3 linked regions of the Ovis aries genome follow. Each later gene encodes a partner of the first gene's protein in a complex. Links are inferred from orthologs where the notes say so. Each region holds a gene or a part of one and is shown on either strand. Other genes may lie near its edges.

Evidence for each region.
Region 2: GTF2F2 (region 1) and POLR2B share a complex: the UniProt entries of both Homo sapiens proteins name them as parts of the TBP-based Pol II pre-initiation complex. The link is inferred for Ovis aries from reciprocal best matches to the Homo sapiens genes GTF2F2 and POLR2B.
Region 3: GTF2F2 (region 1) and GTF2H4 share a complex: the UniProt entries of both Homo sapiens proteins name them as parts of the TBP-based Pol II pre-initiation complex. The link is inferred for Ovis aries from reciprocal best matches to the Homo sapiens genes GTF2F2 and GTF2H4.

Annotation. Positions count from the first base shown.
Region 1 is NC_056063.1:15,789,748-15,797,079, reverse strand, and holds the end of GTF2F2 (general transcription factor IIF subunit 2), read right to left. Parts: intron 5,838-7,332; coding exon 5,718-5,837; 3' UTR 1,871-5,717; downstream 1-1,870. UniProt on the Homo sapiens protein: TFIIF is a general transcription initiation factor that binds to RNA polymerase II and helps to recruit it to the initiation complex in collaboration with TFIIB.
Region 2 is NC_056059.1:73,102,791-73,110,122, reverse strand, and holds part of POLR2B (DNA-directed RNA polymerase II subunit RPB2), read right to left. Parts: intron 5,411-7,332; coding exon 5,260-5,410; intron 1,548-5,259; exon of another isoform or gene 777-1,547; intron 10-776; coding exon 1-9. UniProt on the Homo sapiens protein: Catalytic core component of RNA polymerase II (Pol II), a DNA-dependent RNA polymerase which synthesizes mRNA precursors and many functional non-coding RNAs using the four ribonucleoside triphosphates as substrates.
Region 3 is NC_056073.1:27,276,683-27,284,577, forward strand, and holds the start of GTF2H4 (general transcription factor IIH subunit 4), read right to left. Parts: upstream 5,379-7,895; 5' UTR 5,210-5,378; intron 4,596-5,209; 5' UTR 4,593-4,595; coding exon 4,453-4,592; intron 4,188-4,452; coding exon 4,083-4,187; intron 3,735-4,082; coding exon 3,603-3,734; intron 3,342-3,602; coding exon 3,245-3,341; intron 3,153-3,244; coding exon 3,064-3,152; intron 2,637-3,063; coding exon 2,525-2,636; intron 2,380-2,524; coding exon 2,311-2,379; intron 2,111-2,310; coding exon 2,027-2,110; intron 1,776-2,026; coding exon 1,643-1,775; intron 1,452-1,642; coding exon 1,321-1,451; intron 273-1,320; coding exon 225-272; intron 49-224; coding exon 1-48. UniProt on the Homo sapiens protein: Component of the general transcription and DNA repair factor IIH (TFIIH) core complex, which is involved in general and transcription-coupled nucleotide excision repair (NER) of damaged DNA and, when complexed to CAK, in RNA transcription by RNA polymerase II.

The sequences.
Region 1 (7,332 bases):
CCGATGTCCACTGTTCACGGGTGAGCATGATAGGCTATGCTTGCCTCTGGAAAGCTCAGGTGTTTTGAATTTACTATTTTTAATTGAGATACATCTGATATAGAAACACTGTCAAGGAATACAACATGGTTTGATAATTTATATCTTTTGATATAATTGCCAGTGAGGTACAGTTAGCTCTTCTATAACGTAATTACTTCTTCTGTTGTGGTATAAGTAAGACCTAGTCTGTGAGCAAGTTTGGTAATTACTGTTAATAATACAGCAGTGTTGTCTTTACTCATTGTGCTCCTCAGGACTCATTTACTAGTTCCAAGTTTGTGTCCTTCAGCAACATCTCTCCTATCCCATCCTTAACCTCTGGAAAACACCACTTTTCTGCTTTTATGAGGTTAGCCTTTCTGCCTTCCACACGTATGTGACAGCATGCACCAGGTGTCTTTCTCTGACTTATTTAGCACAATGCTCTCAAGGTCCATCCACGCTGAAAATGGCAGGATTTCCTTCTTCTCATGGCTTAATAACATCCCACTGCATAACCGACGTGTACTACCTCTTCTCTATCCATTCATCCACTGATGGGCACGTATGCTGTTGCCATCTCTTGGCTGTTGGGAATAATGTTGCAATAAACACGGGAGTGTGCGTATTTCTTTGAACTCCTGTTTTCATTTCCTTTGGGTTTATACACACCCAGAAGTGGGATTTCTAGATCATACAGTAGTTCCATTTTTAACTTTTTGAGGAACCTCATTGGAGAAGGCAATGGCATCCCACTCCAGTACTCTTGCCTGGAAAATCCCATGGGTGAAGGAGCCTGGTGGGCTGCAGTCCATGGGGTTGTCAAGAGTCGGACACGACTGAGTGACTTCACTTTCACTTTCATGCATTGGAGAAGGAAATGGCAACCCACTCTGGTGTTCTTGCCTGGAGAATCCCAGGGACAGGGGAGCCTCGTGGGCTGCTGTCTATGGGGTCGCACAGAGTCGGACACGACTAAAGTGACTCAGCAGCAGCAGCAGTATTGTTTCCCATAAGGGCTGAACCAGTGTATATTCTACCAACAGTGCACAAGAGGTCCCTTTTCTCCACATTCTCACCAACACTTACCTCTTGCCTTTCTTCAGGACAGCCATTCTAACAGGTGTGAGGTGACAGCTCACTGTGGTTTTGATTTCCATTTCCCTGATGAGCAGTGATGCTGAGTATTTTTTCATGTACCTGTTGGCCATTTGCATGTCTTCTTCCAGCCACTCCAGATTTTTCCCCTGCAAACGGTAAGCCAGGCCAAACACCCACCAGTGGCAGCTAGTCATCACTAAGTGAGGAGAAGGATAAACAGAGAAAGCTCTACTTCAGCCTCAGCTCTTAGGGAGGCCCTCCAGGCCAACTAGGAGTAATTGGGCCTCAAAAAAGGAGTCATTTAACCCTATTTATTTCTTATTCCCTATCTGTCCTTATTGATTAGCATTTGCAGTGGTGACAAATGATTGGAACCGCAAACCTCTAACACATAATTCATTAAAAGTTGGTTTGGACTGAAGCAACAGCCCACGCACACATACATGTTGTTAGGACTACATGAGTTGAAAGAAGGTGAAAGCGTTAGTGCTCAGTTTTGTCCCACTTGTTGCAACCCCATTGACTGTAGCCCACCAGGCTCCCTGTCCATGGGATTCTCCAGGCAAAAATACTGGAGTGGGTTGCCATGCCCTTCTCCGGGGAATCTTCCCGATCCAGGGATGGAACTGGGTCTCCCGAATTGCATTTTGTAGGGCTGTTGGGAGGATTACACGAGTCACAGGAGTCAAATGCCTAGCAGAGTGTCTGGCACACAATAAAAGTTCAATAAACAGTTTAAAGTGGAAGCTACAGCATTGAAAAAGTCCTTTTTTAATTTAGACGATTTCCAACAAAATCAGATAGACGCTGTTAATTTTCCTATGATAAACCACCAAAGACTTATACCGTCAGTCTGTCGGGTGTTACATCGTGCTACTGTATAATGAGTGGTGGCACCTGCTCAAAGGAAAGGAAGTAAGAAGAAGAAAGCATGGGAGTACGAGAAGAAAGGTAATGTTACAAAGTGATCTCTGATCCCTCCTCTTACATACTATGAAAAAGATATTAGGCTTAGAAGCATGCACTGAACTGTCAAAAGTGAAAACTGAACCAAAAAGATATTTGGCCTGTCACCTCTTGGACCATCACACAAATGCCAGGGAAAATGGCCAATACGCTGAGACGAAAGGCAAGCTTTCAGCAAGTGAAGTCTGAACAAAGGCAGCTACCTTTCAGCTGGTGCAATAGCTAGTGTATTCCCATCACATCCCACTTGATCCCGGACGCGCATGGAGCTCGAGGAGTCCACTGCAACGCTGCACACCCTACGTGGGTACTTGAAGTGTAACAGGGATTAACAGTTAGCAAGAGGAGCCTGACTTTAAAGGAGAAAATGTAACCGTGTCCTGTGGGTCAGGAAGGGCTGGGTGTCTGGATTCAAGCAGGGGATGCCAAAGACCACTGGTCGCCACTTTGATCGCCTTTTTCCTGGTTTGGGGGTAAGACGAGGGGAGGTGGGGGAGACTCATGGGCTTCTGAGAAGGTATACTCTAGCATTGACTTTATCCCCAAAGGGCAGAATTCTCCTAAAGAGGGACTGGTACTCATGATATTATGTTGGGCAGGAAATGGTTCTATAAAATGGACATTATCTACTTCTCCACACTAATTCTTTAAATGAGAGAGTATTTTAGAGCGTTTGATACATTGCCAGGCACTGTTTCCTCTTATTTTCATTAATATGTACCAATGGTGATGAAAACAGCTTCAAAGAAAATGTGATCACAGACCATCAGGAACAACTGCACCTCTGCTGAAATCCAGGAGAGCCGCTGCTGATTCCATAGAGCTAAACTGGTTTACTTTTTAAAGATGTATCACTTTGGATGCTATTGGTAACATGTGATTTCAAATCTTTCCAATGCCAAGCAACCACAATCTTACTACATTCTGTCAGTTAAAATATCCCCAAGGTGTGTGCACTGGTTGAGTTTAACAATCTCATTGATTACATATGGCCTTCCTGTTGTCTTACGATGGGACATCTTACCAGGTGTATATCCCCCTCATCAGCCTTCCTCTCTCGCCATCTCACAGCGGTTATAAGGGTTTAGGATTTTTGGCTGCCAAAACCGTGTTTATCAGAGCAAGAGAGTCCTGAAATAAAAGAAAAAGGGAGCCCAGGTGGAAGAGAGAATCTCCTTCTTGACCAACAGCTGCATGTTTGTACTAAATAAGAAGGCAATTTCAAAAAATTAATCAGGAATGGCACCAGTCTACCACCTATTCTACCGAATAGATAGTAAGTATTTAAGAGATAGGATACTGTCAGTGTGACAAGGTACAAGGTAACTAAAACAAGCTTAAGAACCAAGTTGGCAGAAAATAACCAAAGCACAGCTTTAGATGAGACGAAGTTGCCCTGGCAACTCTTCCAGCAGCAAGTTCTGGCAGGCGCTGCCACTGCAAAAACAAAAGGCTGGGGTAGAGGAGACACAGGTCTGTTTCAGAGCAGTGTCATACATCCAGAAAGACAGGTTTGGGAGAAGATATATCCTCTGTACAAAGCAAATACCAGGTGCCCAGAACCCTCGGCTATATACAGATATGCTACATCATTACCCATCGGCTTGCTTACACTGAGCCTTAAGTAACTGGGAGTTGAAAGACAGTGGAGGGATGGCCCTGGTGGTCCAGTGGTTACATCTCCAATGCGGGGGGTGTGGGTTCGATCCCTCACTTGGGACCTAAGATCCCACATGCCTTGCAGTCAAAAAACCAAAACATAAAACAGAAGCTATACTATAACAAATTCAATAAAAACTTTAAAAATGGCCCACATCAAAAACAAACAAACAAACAAACACCTAAAAAAAAAGGAAGGTAATGGAGATACAATGTTTGGTTACTGCAGCACAGTAAGGCAGGATAAGACAGCTGGAGGTGGGAGAGGGGATGGGACCACCTTCCTTAGTTTTATTTCACTGGGAATCCCAGGACAAAAAATCTAACGCACTGGTCTCAGCTTCAGCATTCTGCTGCTAAAAAATCAAATAATACAGGAAAATATTTATCTCAGTGGACAGATTATTTCCAGGATTTGTTTTAATTACATAACAAAAAATTTTGGCATTTGCTGCTTCTTGGTTGTAAGCGTACTGAAACAGATGACAAAATTAACAAGTAAAAATAAATTCTTAATTGTGTTTAGTTTGCTAAAGCTTCTTTCATTTTGGTGATCTTATTCATGGATATGCTTTTAGATGGTTTTTCCAGTGGTCATGTATGGATGTGAGAGTTGGACTGTGAAGAAGGCTGAGCACCAAAGAATTGATGCTTTTGAACTGTGGTGTTGGAGAAGACTCTTGAGAGTCCCTTGGACTGCAAGGAGATCCAACCAGTCCATTCTGAAGGAGATCAGCCCTGGGATTTCTTTGGAGGGAATGATGCTGAAGCTGAAACTCCAGTACTTTGGCCACCTCATGCGAAGAGTTGACTCACTGGAAAAGACTCTGATGCTGGGAAGGATTGGGGGCAGGAGGAGAAGGGGACGACAGAGGATGAGATGGCTGGATGGCATCACGGACTTGATGGACGTGAGTCAGAGTGAACTCCGGGAGTTGGTGCTGGACAGGGAGGCCTGGCGTGCTGCAATTCAGGGGGTCGCAAAGAGTCGGACACGACTGAGCAACTGAATTGAACTGAACTGAATATATAACATTTTGTGCTATGTAATACCATGGACAGGTATTGTTTTTATTTAAAACTAATTAAAAAGAAAGACAAAAGAAACACTTTCATTCCCCAGGAGCTGACATTAACCTGTTTGTCTGTACACATCAACCTTACCCCTACAACCCTCCTTTAGGTGGTAAACAGCCTTTGTCACAAACTAGTCAATATAGGCTTGCTGAGTGTGCAGTAAACATCTTTGAGAAGCTTACGATGGGGGATGTATATCCCGAACTGGAAAAGCATTTAACTTCTAATTATTTTAAAAGAAGAAGAGAGGAAAGAAACAGCAACTGCCCACGACTTTTTCCAGTTCTCAGGTCACTGTCACTAGGGTAAAGTAAGCTAATGATGAAAACTGCTATCTCGAAAAAGAAACAAAACAAACTGCTACCTTAGTACACACCCAAATGCTATACTTTCATTAATATGTGCAAATATGAAACACAACCACCTGTTTAAAAAAAAAAAAAAAAAGGACAGCCTTGCTCTGTGACAATTTCAGAAGAAGGAACTTTTCTTTAGTTCCTTTTCAGAATTTCTGGAGTTGCCTACTTTTTTTTCCTGCTGTGCCAATCACTTTGGATCTATATCACTTCAACTCTTCACGCAAAGATGGGGAGTGCTCATTTAGAAAACATTTCCTAATTTTACATTTGAAAGTTAATATTTAAAAAGAAAAACCTTTCAACGCCCCACCCCATCATGAATAATCTGGTTTAATACAAGTATATAAAGGTGTTCTTTTTCCTCAAAAATCATTTAAGCAACTTTACAAGAATTATTGTTTAAAAAATTTACCTAGAGAAATTAAAGTACCAGTCATTTCCCCCCTATAACAGATAGTGCTCAAGGATTCACACATCAGGGCTGTCTGCTCAGCTCATCATCCTTTAGTTCTGTTAGGCGGGCTTCCAATCTTCTTAATCACTTTTTTCTTCTACTTGATAATGTCTGTATTCTGGCTTCAGTTCCCATGTGTTTTTGTGGATCCCTTTAACATTTTGAACACCAATTTCCTTTAAGATGTCCTTCAGGTATGACTGAAAAACAGAACCAAAATAACCTTGACAGATGAGATAAAGAAGGCAGGAAACAAAAATATAAAATAAAATGATATATCAAACTACATTTACAAGTAACAAAAATTATGATTCCGAAAGCCCCATTAGATTTCTCTATAATGAATTTCAATAAACTGCCTTTTTGATTATTTGCATACAATACATGATAACTGCACTAAATATGATTATTTGCATTACAGGGCTTAGAAGTCCTGAATGCCAGCAGCCTTGAGAGCTTAAAAAAAAAAAAGAAGGAAAGAGAGTTTAGAAGGAAATACATTTGTTGGTACTTAATTTATAAGTATACCAAGTGTAATGAGCCCCCGAGTTCTGTGATATCACTGAGTTCACAGTCAGACAGGATTATTCTTGGATAGGAAACAGTCATTTTAGAAGCAGGAGCATATGTTATTTTTCTATGAAGCAAGCACATGACAGACACCCAGAATTCTCAGTTCTAAGGTGAGTTCTCAAATTTGCTATTGGGCCACTTGCTTTTCTTGTATAATAAGGCAAGTCGTTATGTATGTTTAATATTGTTTGTATCACATGGCCAAGGTTGCCTAGACAGAGGAAGGTAGAATAAGATATGTTAAAAACCCTGACGGCTGCAGTTTTCCTGGGCTTAGGTCCACCAAAGGATAGGGGTGAGAAATGACGGAGGTCAGAACTCTGGATCATGGTATTTCAGGCACCTGAAAATTCAGGTATTACCCAAATGATCACTAGAGGCATGAAAATGATGGCTATGAAAAATGTAGTACCAAACCCCATCTTTGCTTGCCAATGCCCAAGGTGAAAAAGCATTTCACTATAAACCAATACAGATTACCGTACTTCCTTCTTGGGGAAGAGAGAAAAGTTACATGTTTAAAATGAACCCCGCCCCCCCCACTATACAACCAATGAGCCAAACAAGAATTTTTGTGTGCATGCTTCATAGAACCAGTTACAGGTACATTACAGGGACTCATCCCACTGACGGAAGATGTAATAGGATGTAAATTTTTTAATTCATGGGAACGAGGCACTAATTTTTAAAGAGGCGGAGAATGGCTTGATAGTGTTGAAGGCGGTGCCTTTCTAAGTGTGATGCTAGATTACCTGCACCAGAACTTCATGGGGGCCTGTGAACTGAACCCCACTGTAGGGCGAGTCAATTAAACCTCTGGCGCCAAGCATGGGAAACTGCAATTCACAAGCCCCCTGGAGCCTGACTGAACTGAAGTCCACAGCAACTGCTCAAAACTTCTTCTGGCTCTAATGCTCTGGGATCTTGGGGTCCTTGCAGTGTTATTTAGGTTTCTGACCCTCACTGCTGCTGGAGAGTGTGTGTTAACCGACACCACTGAATACCACCTTACACTGATGGGTGTACTGCTTCACAGTCTCAACTTTTATTTAGGGGTCCCTGGTTAGCACTGGAACTACATACAGGTCTCTCAAATGGCCCAGACGGCTCAGCTCTCGCTTG
Region 2 (7,332 bases), on another chromosome or scaffold:
ATATCTTGGCTAAAATGAAACAAAAAACCATGGAAAAAAGTAAATAATTTTTTCCATAAAAGATTTAATGATTCAGTTTTAGTCAACATTAACATTTTGAGTAGAAACACCTCTACTCTAGAAAATGCCAAAGTTAATCCACTTTATTAAAATGGTGACTCTCCACAGTTACTGTCCATATTCTATAGACATCAGGTTTTATACTTCATCACTCTCTTAAGGTGGAAGACAAAAAGAGACTGTAAAGACTAAGCATATATCATATGCTCTGCTCCTACGTCACTTCAGTCGTGTCCGACTCTGTGTGACCCCATAGACAGCAGCACACCAGGCTCCCCCGTCCCTGGGATTCTCCAGGCAAGAACACTGGAGTGGGTTGCCACTTCCTTCTCCAATGCATGAAAGTGAAAAGTGAAAGTGAAGTCACTCAGTCGTGTCCGACTCTTCAAGATCCCATGGACTGCAGCCTACCAGGCTCCTTCATCCATGGGATTTTCCAGGCAAGAGTACTGGAGTGGGGTGCCACTGCCTTCTCCTCATATGCTCTGAACTCATGTCAAACAACTAAAATGGATTTGCATTAACGATCTGTACAGCTGTTTCATGTGCCCTCTCCTTAGCTGAGGTTAAGTTAACAAAGTTACCAGAAAACAAAGAAAAGATACATTCATACAATTAGAAAGGTGTTCTAAACTAATCAACAGGACATGGGAAAAAGTAAACCTAACTCTTCAATTAAACATAACAGAAGATGCCAGCACCAGTCGCAGGGCAAAATGGAAGCGCTGATTTTGGAACTCTTCCTGTATACTGGTCAAAGCCATCCTTATTCTGGACAATGAAGGAGATCAAATTTTTGCCACATACAATGACACCTATACCAGCATCAAGAAGCAAAAGGCCTTTGAGAAGAATATTTTCAACAAGACCCTTAGGATTGACAGTGAAGCTGCCCTTTTAGAAAGCCTGGAAGTAGTATACAAAAGCTGTATCAATCTCTATTTCTGTATGATTGGCAGCTCCTATAAAAATGAACTGAAGTTCATGGCTGTTTTGAACTGCTTCTTCAACTAATCAAGACAGATGCTGAGGGAAAATGTAGAAAAGCAAGCTCTACTGGTGAATATTCTTCTCGGCTATGGAAGAAATCACAGATGCAGGGGTGATCCGAGACAGTAATTCCCATAAAGTTGTACTCCCGGTGGCAGTAAGGAGCAGATCAAATATCAGGTGCTGCAGTCAGCCAAAGAAAAGATCCAGCAGTCACTCCAGTGAAGACCACCATTCCTGGCTTTTCAGTCAGTTCAGTTCAGTCACGTCCAACTCTTTGCAACCCTATGAACTGCAGCATGCCAGGCCTCCCTGTCCATCACCAACTCCTGGAGTCCACCCAAACCCATGTCCGTCGAGTCGGTGATGCCATCCAACCATCTCATCCTCCGTTGTCCCCTTCTCCTCCTGCCCTCAATCTTTCCCAGCATCAGGGTCTTTTCCAATGAGTCAGCTCTTTGCATGAGGTGGCCAAAGTATTGGAGTTTCAGCTTCAACATCAGCCCTTTCAATAAATGAACACCCAGGACTGATCACCTTTAGGATGGATGGGTTGGATCTCCTTGCAGTCCAAGGGACCCTCAAGAGTCTTCTCCAACACCACAGTTCAAAAGCATCAATTCTTCAGCGCTCAGCTTTCTTTATAATCCAACTCACACATCCATACATGACCACTGGAAAAACCACAGCCTTGACTAGATGGACCTTTGTTGGCAAAGTAATGTCTCTGCTTTTTAATATACTGTCTAGGTTGGTCATAACTTTTCTTCCAAGGAGTAAACGTCTTTTAATTTCATGGCTGCAGTCACCATCTGCGGTGATTTTGGAGCCCAGAAAAATAAAGTCAGCCACTGTTTCCACTGTTTCCCCATTTATTTGCCATGAAGTGATGGGACCGGATGCCGTGATCTCAGTTTGCTCAATGTTGAGCCGGCTCTTCACTTCCTCAAAAAATCCAAGAAGAGCTCCTGGGTGACTTCTCATCCAGTCCCCCAAGTGATGCTTGCAGGATCATCTTGAGGTCACAGAGATTGAGACTCCATCTTGTCTGTAGGTGCCCCATGCTCACCCCAACCTGTACACGCTTGCCCTTCCTTCTCACTCCTCTCTGTCAGTACTGGAAGGAAAGCTCTGAGCACATCGGACACAGGGCAGGGGAAGCACCCTCCTTCTTTGACTGGATCGTGCTCCCACGCTCTTCTACAGCCTATATTTTCTCCTCTACTTCTGTGCTTCTGTGCCCTGTGGTGCAACTACACTTCAAAGCAGGAGAAGGAACGTGCTGAGGGTTTTCCTCCTTTTGCCTTTACACAGCCTTCATCCCAACAGCAAGGGGAGGGAGAGAGAATTCTTTTGTATAGAATAAGTGGGGGTGGGGAGTGGCATTTCAAGTCTCAGTATTTTCCCCTATTTCTTCTTACTGCCCAGACCTCTAGTCTTGAAAAAAATACTGGGAACATAGGAAGCGACAGCATGGAAACAGTGATTTAAATTTTATCGAAGAGGGTCTATAAAATTCTGTATTTCAACACAGCTGAATTTTCTTTTTACCCTGATCCTGGCTCATAGCTTCAAAACTGCTGTGGTCTGTGTTTGTTGTAGGAATGTCCATCTCTGTGTCTGATACCTTAACTCTCCACCTTCACTACCATCAGATCTCCACCTGACTTGTCCTCTCTGTGCCCTAGAGAAAAGACAGTCCCTGAATTAAAACTCTACTTGAGTCTTGGGAAGAAGAGTTTCTGCTCAGAACTGGAGACAGGGTGGAATTTAGGACTTGGACCTCTAGGCTCTCTTAGTCCCCTTCTCTCTTCTCTCCCCAACAGGCATTTCAATTCTCTGCCTTGGGTCTGTGAACTCTGCTGCTTAACACTGTCCTCTTCTGCCCCAACCTAATCCAGGCACCACCCATCCCGAGGTCACTGAAAGAGATGCCTTTCTTCAGAAAACCTTTGGGATTAGAATTTCCCCAGGAAGATGAAGGATGGAACGTTCATTGCTGGGTTTCATCTCTCCTTCTGACCCAAAACTTCCCACAAAAATGTCTCAAGAAACCTTCCCAAAACTTAGCATTCTGCCCCATTCACTAACTGCCAATTCCCATGGGCAGATAACTGGGAATCCTTGAGGGGGCATTTCTGTGTAAGAGATGTATGGAATCAGTATGATAGCCACCTTCTTTCAATACTGTGTGCAAAGAGGAATAAAAAAGAAACAACAACAGAAAATCCTAATTACTATTCTACATAAAGAAATGAGAATTTCCAACCATGGCTGACTATAGCTTATTTCACAGTTAAAAAAAAAAAAAGAGAGAAAGAAAAATTTTCAATTAAATATCTGCTACCCAATAAAACAAGATCCAAGAGAACTTTCCAGAGTTAAATGGATACGGAATTTCTCTCTAAATCAAACCTCAGAAAAGGAAAAGATGGAACTACGCAGATCACTAAAGGAAAATTGTGAATACCCAAGTTTCCCAAGCTGGAGTAGGCAAAGAGCAAAAAGAACTACTGTTGATAATGAAACAAAAGGAATCCAGCCATCCAACTACTTATTTCCACTATCACCTTAGTTTAGGACATTATTATCTGAAACTTAAGCTATTTCAAAATTTGTATCTGACTCCAGTCTCTTACCATTCCAAGTAAACACCATTTCCAAAGCAACCTTTTTAAATAACACTTTAATACATTCTTTGACAGTCTTTCCACAATTTCCCATGACAGCCAATGACATCCAAGCATGTGACAACCTAGTTCCATCTTATCTTCCACTATCAAAAAGAGATCAAGTCAAAAACAATACACTGACTACGGTGGTCCCTCCATTCCAACCACAAGCCAAATTCATGAAGTATCTCTTGCTGAAATGATTAAATATCTTTTCTCTACTAAGACAAATGCCCTTTACAGTCAGCTTAAGTCCCTCCCATCTTTTTCACTAAGCTCTGATACCAAAGCTTACGAGATCTCTTCCTTCCATAGTATTTATTTTGGAACTCTGAATATGCTATATTGTTGTCTCTCGTTTTGAAAAGACCATATAGAAAAAAATGCCATACATTAAAAAAAAACAAAGACATTTTATACCCATTTTTCCAACACAGTGCCTGAAGAGTCAATTATTTTTGTTCTCAAGAGCAAAGTCTATGCAGTAGCTCCACCTAAAATGAGAATAATACACCAGCACTTATGAGATAAGCTACGGAAAAGAGGGACTGATCTGGCAGGAAATAATAATCTTTCCCTCTGTCTACTTCTACTTCTTTTCTACCTCATTTTGGTTTTTAGTTTTCCCTGTCCCTCAAGACCGATCAAGCTGCCTCTCTACTCAAAAACTAGGAACATGGAATTCCCTGGTGGCTCAGTGGCTAGGATTCTGGGCTTTTGCTGCCATGGCCTAGGTTTGATCCCTGGTGGGGGAAATTGAGATTCCCCCAAACCATGCAGCAATAAATAGTACTTAAAAAAAAAAAACTGGGGTGGGAAGAAAGTTCATGAGGGAGGGAAATATGTATACCTATGGCTGATTTATGTTGCTGTATGGCAGAAACCAACAACATTGTAAAGCGATTATCCTCCAATTAAAAATAAATAAATTAAGGAAAAAAAACTAGGGACAGTCATTGTTTTCGACTACATACACACTTCTTTACAATCACTCAAAACTAGATTCTAAAATGATAGCCCTGCTATGATTTTAACAATGCTGAAAACATGCACATGTTTAAAAAAAAAAAAGACTACAAACTAATTTAGAAAAATTAAAAGAGCTGATATATTTGGGTGATTTCCCCTTACCTCTTATATTGATATAACAATGTATTTCATGCAACAAATAATCAAGGCAGAGGTTCTTCACCTACTTTTTCTTTCTATTACTTATACTTGGAAAGACAAAAGGAGGATTTTCTGAAGTAATATGACTATTTCTGGCTTGCTTCTCTCAGTAGCTCATCATATCTCTTGAGATTCTTCTTCCTGACTATTAAATACCTACTATCTGAATAGGAATTAACAGTTCTGCATTACTCGCAAAAATGCATCTCTCCACTAGTAAGACTAAATCAGGAGCTGATAGAAACTGTTGAAAGTACACTACAGAAAGTACACCTTTCTTTTTTAACCTTTAAGCCAGGTGAGAAAAGGACTGAAATTTCAAATCAATACCCTTATTTATGTTACTTTATTAAAATAACCATCTTACCGGTTCTTCAACTTCTCCACTAGCATGCTGAGCTTCAGCTTGTAGGTCTATAGGTGGAGCATCTTCCACAATTCTTTGAACAGACATCTGAATAAACTCATCAAAAGAATCCAGCTGTTGTCTCACCAAACCTTTCTCATCAAAATAGGAACTGGGAAAATATGAGTTTACAATCAGTTACAACTCACTAATGTTTTCTAGCATATTTCCCCATTTTCACTATCATTAAATTCAACAAATATTAATCATAAAATAGAAATCACTCTGTACCCATCACTATATAAAATACTATCATGTATCTAAAAAGGCGATGAGACTAGGAACACTTTCTTTGTCGAACTTATTGTTAAGTCTGTGGAAATGAGACTTATACCTGTGGGTAGAATTACTAAAACACAACGTAAGAACTATAAGGAAGCCCTAACTTATAAATATCCCTTATAAACTTTATCCAACCTCTCTGAAACATTTCTTGAAACTAAAGAAAATGTATAGTCAAAGAGAAAAACATTAACAGGGATGGGCCATGAGACTATTAAGAGAAATAAACAGGAGAAAATCAGATAGCACATGATTTCACTCATACATGGAATCTTAAAAACAAAGGGAAAAAACCCAAACCCAAAACAACAGACAAACAAAACAAAAAAAACTCACAGACATAGAGAACAGAAAAGAGGTTACCAGAGAGAGAAGGTGGTTAGCTTTATAGGTGAAATGGGTGATGGGGGTAAAATGTAAGGTGATACAAATGATGGATGATAACTAGACTGTGGCGTTGATCCCTCTGTGGTATATTCAGATGTTGAACTATAATGCTGTACACCTGAAACTTATATAACAAAAAAAAAGCATGGAAAAAAAAAGAAAAATAAGAACTTTAATTTTAATAAGAAAAAAGATGATGATGTCAATGACTAAAATACAGCATGTTAAGAATTTCAATTTTAGGTTAAAGATTATCCTATTCTGTATATGTTAAAGGTAATATGAGGCAAAGTCATTTAAGTGAAAATACTCAGCAAATGACTGATCATTAAAAATGGAGCAAGGTTGAGAGATCAGAGCTAGTGGTATAGACACAAAAATCAAACAGTGAAAGCCCTAATGAAGGACAGAGGCTCAAAAAGAAACAACTTATTATTTGCAAGAAGACTCTTTCCGCTTACCACCACACAAGAAGAGCTGCATAGCTGGACCTAGCTTCTAGCCCCTTTTGCTTATTAACTAGCTCCCTCATCTCACACCAACTTTCTGAGCACCATGCATAGCCCAACAAACCATCAGCTTCCCGTTTCCACATCAGGAGATCATCTCACAGGTTGCTGGCCAGCCTACAGATTGGCTGGCTTTGGGTCCCACCCTGATTCAGTCACCCATCGCTACCAATATCAGAAGTTCTCTATGGCAGAGAACAGAGTAATAATCACCCGTATATAAGGTACAGCTTCAAGAATGATGGAGGCAGACACGTCCTTGGTGGTCCAGTGGCTAAGACTCCATGCTCCCAATGCAGGGGGCTAGTTTTGATCCCCCATCAGGATACTAGGTCCCACATGCCACAACTAAGAGTTCGTGGGCCAAAGTAAAAATTCCTGCCTGCCACAACTAAGACCTGGTACAGCCAAATAAATAAATAAAAGTAAATAAATATTTATAGAATGGTGAAGGTAACTTCCTTCAGTAGAGACTGTGAGCTAACAGGAAAGAAATTTCTCACAACCATTTGGGTCAGCCATTGGTATGTAAGAGACACATGGAAGGCACTAGCTGTAAAGTAAACAACGGTTTTTATGGACAATTTACAATTAAAAATCTTTTAAAAACTAAGGACAAGTTTCATCCTCCCAGGAAGCTGAACCATAGCTACTTTTCCCCAAATCATCAGAACAGTACCTCATTAGAATGCCACCCTTTAAACACCTAAACTATAGTTCTTATTTATGAATAGTTATTATTTTGAATAGTTCTCATTTATGGTATCTACTACTATGATGGGGTTCCCTGAATTCCCAGACTCAGTTGTAAAGAATTCGCCTGCCAATGCAAGAGATGTCGGTTCCTTCCCTTGAT
Region 3 (7,895 bases), on another chromosome or scaffold:
CTCCCAGAGCCGAATCTGGTCCGTGATGGTGGGAGGCAGCACCGGTGTCTGCAAGGACAAGGGATGGCCCTTGTAAGATTCAGAAGTACTGCTCCAGGCAGCCCCAGCCCTCCACTCATTCCCCAGATTTGGATTTCCATTTCTCTTTTCCATCACTTCATCACCAGGTACCAAGGGCTCTCAGCCTCCTGCAGCTGTTTGTCCCTCCAGCCTCATTTTTGTACCTGTTTAAGCATCACTGGGTGGGCCCTTGTCCTTAGGAAATGGATGATCTAGGAAAACAGACAAGAATTGGGATCAATGGCAGTAAATAAATTCTCAAGTAAGTGCAATTCTCATTGCACAGAATTCTCAAAAAAGAAAGCAGAAAAGCTACCTATCTCCTAATGTCACTGAACATCAACTGATTGTTTAAAAATTCATAGGCATATGCCTATCAATTCAACACATCCCAGATTAGCTGTTGTCCTTAGGTGTTGCTCCCATTGGTGATGTCTGCCGCTCCTTCTTTGGCATATTTGCCCTTTCCATAGGTTTTTTTTTTTTTCTTTAAATTAACAGCAACTATTATTTTTGAGCACTAACTGCATGGCAGGCTCTGAACTAAATGCTTTACCTCTATTTCACTGACTTCGTTCAACAACCTTTTGTGAAAGTCGCTCAGTCATGTCCGACTCTTTGTGACCCCATAGACTATTCAGTCCATGTAATTCTCTAAGCCAGAATACTGGAGTGGGTAGCCTTTCCCTTCTCCAGGGCATCTTTCCAACCCAGGGATCAAACCCAGGTCTCCCACACTGAGGGCTGATTCATTACCAGCTGAACCACAAGGGAAGCCCAGGAATACTGGAGTGGATAGCCTATCCCTTCTCCAGTGGATCTTCCCAACCCAGGAATTGCCCTGGGGTCTCCTGCATTGCAGGTGAATTCTTTACCAACTGAGCTAGCAAGGAAGCCCTGATAGCTGAAGTGAGATCTATCAGAAGCCCTGAAGGGGGAACTGTCATTATTTCCGTTTTCCAGATGAGGAAACTGAGGCTCAGATAAGAGAAACAACTAGACCACTGTGCAGCTAGGAAGTGGTGGTATTGAGACACAAATCCAGAGTTATAGCTCCTCCTTACGAGTCTTCTGCAGGAGGGTCTACCTCTCCCCACACTGAGAGCCTTGATTTCTCATGACCTGATGTTCACATGTAGACAACTCACCACCACCTTCTGTAATAGACCCTATGCTAGCCTTCTGGTAGGTGACCACCCCATACCCTACAGCCCAAGTGCAGCCTTTCTTTCCACCCACACCTTCCCCAGGCAGGGATACCTGCTGGGCTGTGATGCCACTGGCAATGGCCTGCTGCACGCTCTCCCGGGTCACCTGTGCCACCACCATGTTGGGGAAGCGATAGAGCATCTCAGAGAAAAGGGCAATAAGGGCGATCTGCAGCTCCGACTCTGACCAGAAGATAGGAAGAGAAGATTAGGAGGCTTCCCACATCTAGGCTCCCCCAAGCCTCAGAGAGCTCTGTAAACCACCAAGTTACAAGTGTACGTGACTAGAAACTGGCAGTCCCTCCTGCTTCCTTCCCCTTCTTCCTCCCCTCCCCACCAGCCTGCTCTCCCAGGGGCCCTCTGTTCAGCCTCACCCGTGTAGGCATACAGTCGGTAATTGGTTTCCACAACAATGAAGCCAGGCTGATGTGCGGTGCCCCCAGCCCCAGAAACACCTGATGAGAGATTGATGGCCAGGCGTGTGGGGTAGTAACGCCGAGATTTCCTCTGAAAAGGAGAAGGGAAAGGCCACAGGCCCTCTCTCAGGCCTCACTGCACTACGTCTTCCTCCTGAAACATCAGATTCCTCCCGGTGCCCAGGACCTCAGCTCCCAACTTCTCTCCCTCAAGGGAGATAAGTATTCAGTCCTGGCAACTGCTTCTCATGACTGCCTCCCAAGACCCCACTCTCCTTTAAAGGCCAAGGCACCATCCCACCCCGTCTCTTTGGTAGAGGCCATGTGTCTGGGTGCTCATACCTTCCTCTGGAAAACAAGCCCAAACTCACGCAGATGTTGCAGGAAGTTCAACAGAGAATCACTCATACCTTCCACAGAGTAATCCTGGGGAAAAGGAGAGGCCAGCTGGGGTCCAAAACACATCCCATTCTCCCTTTCCCAATCCCATACACTCACTCCCTCTTTTCCCATCTCTTCCTGTTCTTTGTTCATGCTTATCCTCCACTGTATTGCCCCATTACCTCATTTCCCCTTCCCATCTCTTTACTCTCTTCCCATCTTGCCCACTCAAGCCTCCTACTTACCTTGCCCAGAGTGGAGAAGCTGAGCTGGAAGAGGAAGGAGAGAATCTCCACTAGGTCCATGCCCCGACTCTAGGGAGGAATGGGCAGAGACAAAGGGGGAGAGGTGGGAGGGAGGAAATGAGAGAAAACCAGGGAACAGAGACTGCGGGCAGCAGTCCCTCAGCGGGTCTGGGCAAGAGTAGAGAGTGCTGGCGGGCACCCCTGACCTGCTCACCTGGGCTGTCTGCAGATACTGCAACATAAAGTACCAGAGCTGGGCTGGGGTGTCCAGCAACAGGAACTGGAAGCCGGCAGAGGTAATGCAGGGTGGCTCTCCAGGTTCGGCACTGGTGACAGACAGGGCTCATGGCAGAGGTGTGCAGAGAAAGGCCACCGTCCCACCTGTGTGCCCACGTTTTTTTGTTGTTTGTTTATCTCTTGCCATACTCTGCTCTACTCTCCTTTTAAAAATATTTGGCCATGCCAGGTCTTAGTCATAGCATGCGGGATCTTCCATCTTTGTTGAGGCAAGCAGTATCTTTGTGTGACATGCAAACTCTTAGTTGCGGCATGTGGGATCTAGTTCCCTGACCAGGGATTGAACCTGGGTCCCCTGCACTGGAAACGTGGAATCTTAGCCACTGCACCACCGGAGAAGTCCCTCAGCCCGCCTTTTTCAGTCAACCTTCTCCAATCCTGACCCAAGGTGGACTCAATTTAGCAGGGACTCAAGGACATGGCAAAACAGAGCTGTTGTACCTCCGGCTTCCTCACCTCTTCATGAGCCCAGCCTGGCTGAGGAGCTGAGCCAAGTCCTGGCTGACGGCTGCACTGGGGGATCCCACCATGAAGTGCAGGACCACCTGAGGAACGGAAGAGAACACAGTTGGATGCCTTAAAGGCTGTGGGAAGCAGGAACACAAGCAGAAACACCCACAGAGGCCCAAGTCCTCACCTCCCATCGCTCCTCGGCGTACTTGTCAAGTGAGGGGACGTCCCGGGCATGCTTGTCTGGTCCCAGCTGACTTGTGTCATCAGACCAGGCCTTGCCCCTATGCCAGGACGGCCAACAGTAAGGAACCCTACCTGTGTTCCCCACCCACGCTTCTGCCCTTAGTTGACCCTCATCCCCAGGGACCATGAGTGGGAGACATTTCCTACACCATGTAGCTCCATCTGGTCCAACTTACTCCCAAAGGAGCTTCCAAAAGTGGAGCCTGCAAGGTTGCAGAGAGGCCCCTCAGGAGCTCCCAGGCCAGCAATTCAATCACTATGTCCCCTACCTAATTTAGGAAAAGACGGAAGTGACATACCCACCCAGAAGGGCAATGCGGAGGTTTTGGCGGAAGATGGGGTTGAGGATGAGGCCCTGGAGACCACCAGGGAGCAGCTGGGTGTGCCAGATACGGAGGCCGCTCAGCAACCCCGTGCTTTCCTCCTGAGCTCTGGAACAGAAGCAGAGAGGTGAGGGAGATAACTAGGGAACAGAAAGGAGACCCACAAAGGTGTCAGTTTCTGCCTTTTCTAAACTGGTGGTCCTCGGAACACCATTTCACAGAGTGAGATCAGTGTCTTAAGGCAAATTTCTTTACTGTAACACCTACCAGAGCCTTGTTACAGACATCACAACTCTCCGAGAGGCAAATTACAGTAATGAGAATTTCCCAAATGTGTTTAATTACAAGTTGTTGGTGTCCCCATTAATATTTCCTACAAGTGTTCCAAGAACAGCAGTTTGGGAAGCCTGGCTGTTGAGAAATTTGTATCTGGCTAAAAACGCAGGAGAGACTCACTTGCTGAATTCCTTCTTCACCCACAGGGCTACAGCAGCTTGTGGCAAAGGCTGTTCCAGAAAGAGCATCCGCATCACCCAGTTCTTAGCCAAAGATGGGAGCTCCCTATAAGCGGGCAGAGGGACAATGTTAACATCAGAAACTGTCTTAGAACTGCATCCTTGCCATCCATGGCCTCTCAAACATCTCACATTCACCCCCCACGCTTTTACCTGTCTTGCTGCCGCCACATCCTCCATATGGCTTTGCCTGACACACTTTACTCTCCAAGCCCACCACGGCTAAGCTTCTACCCACAATAACTTATTTCAATCTGCAGGCCCCATTACATTTCCCCACCATGGACCCTACCATGAAGGGGGTTCCTCACCTGAAGACAGCCAGGCAGGTGGCAGGGTGCCCATACAATCGATCCAATATACCAGGGCTCAGGCCTCCTAGGAATTCCTGCAAATTCCTGCATTGTAGGTGTACTCGATTCAGTCCACCCCTGGAAGGGGTGCTCTCCATCACCTGAGAGATGCAAGTGTTAGTGTACCCCCACAAGCCATGCCAGCATCACCCCTCACCTTTCTAATTCTGATTCCCGATCCACCGGCCCCCATGAAAACTCACCTATGGTTTCCTTTTTCATGTCACTCACCTCCTCTTGTTTCTCCCAATCCTGACCAACCTCTCCTCTTTTCCTGCCTTCTCACCTCACTTCTGACCTAAACACCAGTCTTCTCTCAATTTCTAGATAACAAAATTGTCAATTGTCCCATATTTGCAAAAACACTTGATATTTCAATGAATTGTCTCATCTTTACCTAAGCAGTGACAAAGACACTAATGCGCCCAATCCTTTTTCCCTTCTGCCTCTCTTGGTCTGATCAGCCTGTAAGTTCCAAATTCGTATGTTCTTCCATCTACTTCTTGGCCCCACCTCGTGCTGAGCACGGCAGTAACTATTTTTCCCCTCCATGTCTCCCAAATCCAGTTCCACTTCTTTCCTCTTCCCTCACCCCATTCACCCTGATCTACACCGCACGATCTCCCAACTTGTCCCCTACTTTCCTCCCAATCCTCGCCTCTCTCTCAACTCTCTCTCTCATATTTCGCCATCCCTTCTCGCCTTGCACCCTTACCGTAACTCCGTGTCGATCCCCTTTCTCGTGCACTCCGAGTCACAAGCCGTCGCTTATACGAGGCTTCCTCCCTGGAAGAGGAATAGGATGGCGGAAAATGACAGGGAAAAAATGGGAGAGAGACGAAGAATTTCACCGACTGGAGTTCAGATTGGAGGATTCAGAAGAGAAGGGAAGGGGTGGAGAAGTGGGGAGGATAAGAATCGGCGCTGCACTCGCCCACAGCAAGGCATGCTGGGAACTGGAGTCTTGTCCTTCCTCACCCGGGAGCAAGCTGAGGCGCATCTGACTTCAACTCCCAAAAGGCACCGCGAGGAAGCCTAGCGGAGAGAGGCTGGCTTGTATTTAAGAGCGCCGGCAGCACCAGAGGTCTGGCTGCTTGGTTCCGCCTCCCTTTCCACCCACTCGGCTAACGGCGAGTCTAACTGACTGAACTGGAGTGGGAACGCTGGGAGTAGAAATACCCCGAGGGCTTCCTGGCGGAGGTGCAGAAACTGCTTGGTGGTGAGGCGCTTACGTGTAGAGACGCAGGAAACTGGGTTCCTTGAGCTCAGTTGCTTCCCGTAAAATTGCAATAATGCACTTTCCAGAGCATTTTCTCAAATTAGGTGTTAATTCAATCCACTGCGCCTTCCTAGGTACCTAAAGTGAAGTCGCTTAGTCGTGTCTGACTCTTTGCAACCCCATGGAGTGGGGCCTGTCAAGCTCCACCATCCATGGGATTTTTCCAGGCAAGAATACTGGAGTGGGTTGTTGTTTCCTTCTCTAGGGGATCTTTCCCACCCAGGAATCGGAACCTGGGTCTCCCGCACTGCAGGCAGACTCTTTACCGTCTGAGCCACCAGGGAAGCCCAAGTCCTCCACAAATGTTCTCATGTCCTGCATGCTTCCGCTCACCTCCCCAGTTCAGTTCAGTCGCTCAGTCGTATCCGACTCTTTGCGACCCCATGGACTGCAGCCAGGCCTCCCTGTCCATCACCAATTCCTGGAGCTTACTCAAACTCATGTCCATTGAGTTGGTGATACCATCCAGCCATCTCATCCTCTGTCGTCCCCTTCTCCCACCTTCAATCTTTCCCAGTATCAGGGTCTTTTCCAGTGAGTCAGTTCTTTGCATCAGGTGGCCAAAGTATTGGAGTTTCAGCGCTTCCTGTTTAATTAGAATATCCTAATAAATGCAGTTTTTAAAAGAAAAAATTGATTGGACTGATTTGATTTATGAAACTATTACCGGGTGAGGGAACTTCTTCAGTAAAAGCCAGAGCTACACGGTCACCCAAATTCCTGAAAGGCAAGTTTTATTGGGAAGATCCCCTGGAGAAGGGAATGGCTACCAAGTCCAGGATTCTGGCCTGGAGAATTCCATGAACTGTATAGTCCATGGGTTCAGAAAGAGTTGGACACCGTTGAACGACTTTCACTTTCATGTTTTGTTATTCCCACTTTGCAGACTAGAAAATGGAAACTCATTGAGAATAAGAAATTTGTGATTGTGATCAGATAGCTAGAAAGTGCTGAAACTGGGATTTGAAGTACATTTCCAAGTGACCAGGAATCAAAATGGTAAGACTAAAGCTTTGTTACACTTTGTAGCCAGCCCATGCGTGTTTTGTTGCTCTATTTCTTGAACAATGTTTAAAATCCTCAAAGAGTGACAGAAAACTGGCAAAGCTACTTTATGACAGATGTTAAATAAGGTTAAAGGACAAATTATAATCTTTTATTTTGGGGGGCTCCAAAATCACCACAGATGGTGACTGCACTCATGAAATTAAAAGACGCTTACTCCTTGGAAGGAAAGTTATGACCAACCTAGACAGCATATTAAAAAGCAGAGACATTACTTTGCCAACAAAGGTCCATCTAGTCAAGGCTATGGTTTTCCAGTAGTCATGTATGGATGTGAGAGTTGGACTATAAAGAAGGCTGAGAGCCGTAGCATCATTATGCTTTTGAACTGTGGTGTTGGAGAAGACTCTTGAGAGTCCCTTGGACTGCAAGGAGATCCAACCAGTCCATCCTAAAGGAGATCAGTCCTGGGTGATCATTGGAAGGACTGATGTTGAAGCTGAAACTCCAATACTTTGGCCATCTGATACGAAGAGCCGATTCATTTGAAAAGACCTTGAGGCTGGAAAAGATTGAGGGCAGGAGAAAAAGGGGACAACAGAGGATGAGATGGTTAGATGGCATCTCCGAGTCAATGAACATGAGTTTGGGTGGACTCTGGGAGTTGGTGATGGACAAGGAGGCCTGGTGTGCTGCAGTTCATGGGATCGCAGAGTCGGACATGACTGAGCAACTGAACTGAACTGATAATCTGGGAAGAAATGGTGGATAAACTAGCCAAAATACAAAGAGCACTTATCACTCAAAAGCAGTAAGAAAAATAAACAATATAATAGAAATACTAAAAAATAACAGACAGTAAATGGAATAAACACAAGTGCCTTGTAACCAAATGAAGAAACTCTCAAAAGTGATTCTTGGGGCTTCCCTGGTGGTTCAGTGGTTAAGAATACGCCTTGCAGTGCGAGGGACACTGGTTCGATCCCTGGCCCAGGAAGATTCCGCATGCCACAGAGCAACTAAGCTCATGTTCCACATCTACTGAGTCCACACACTAGAGCCTGTGCTCTGCAACAAGAGAAGCCACTGCAATGAAAAGCCTGTGCACCGCAATGAA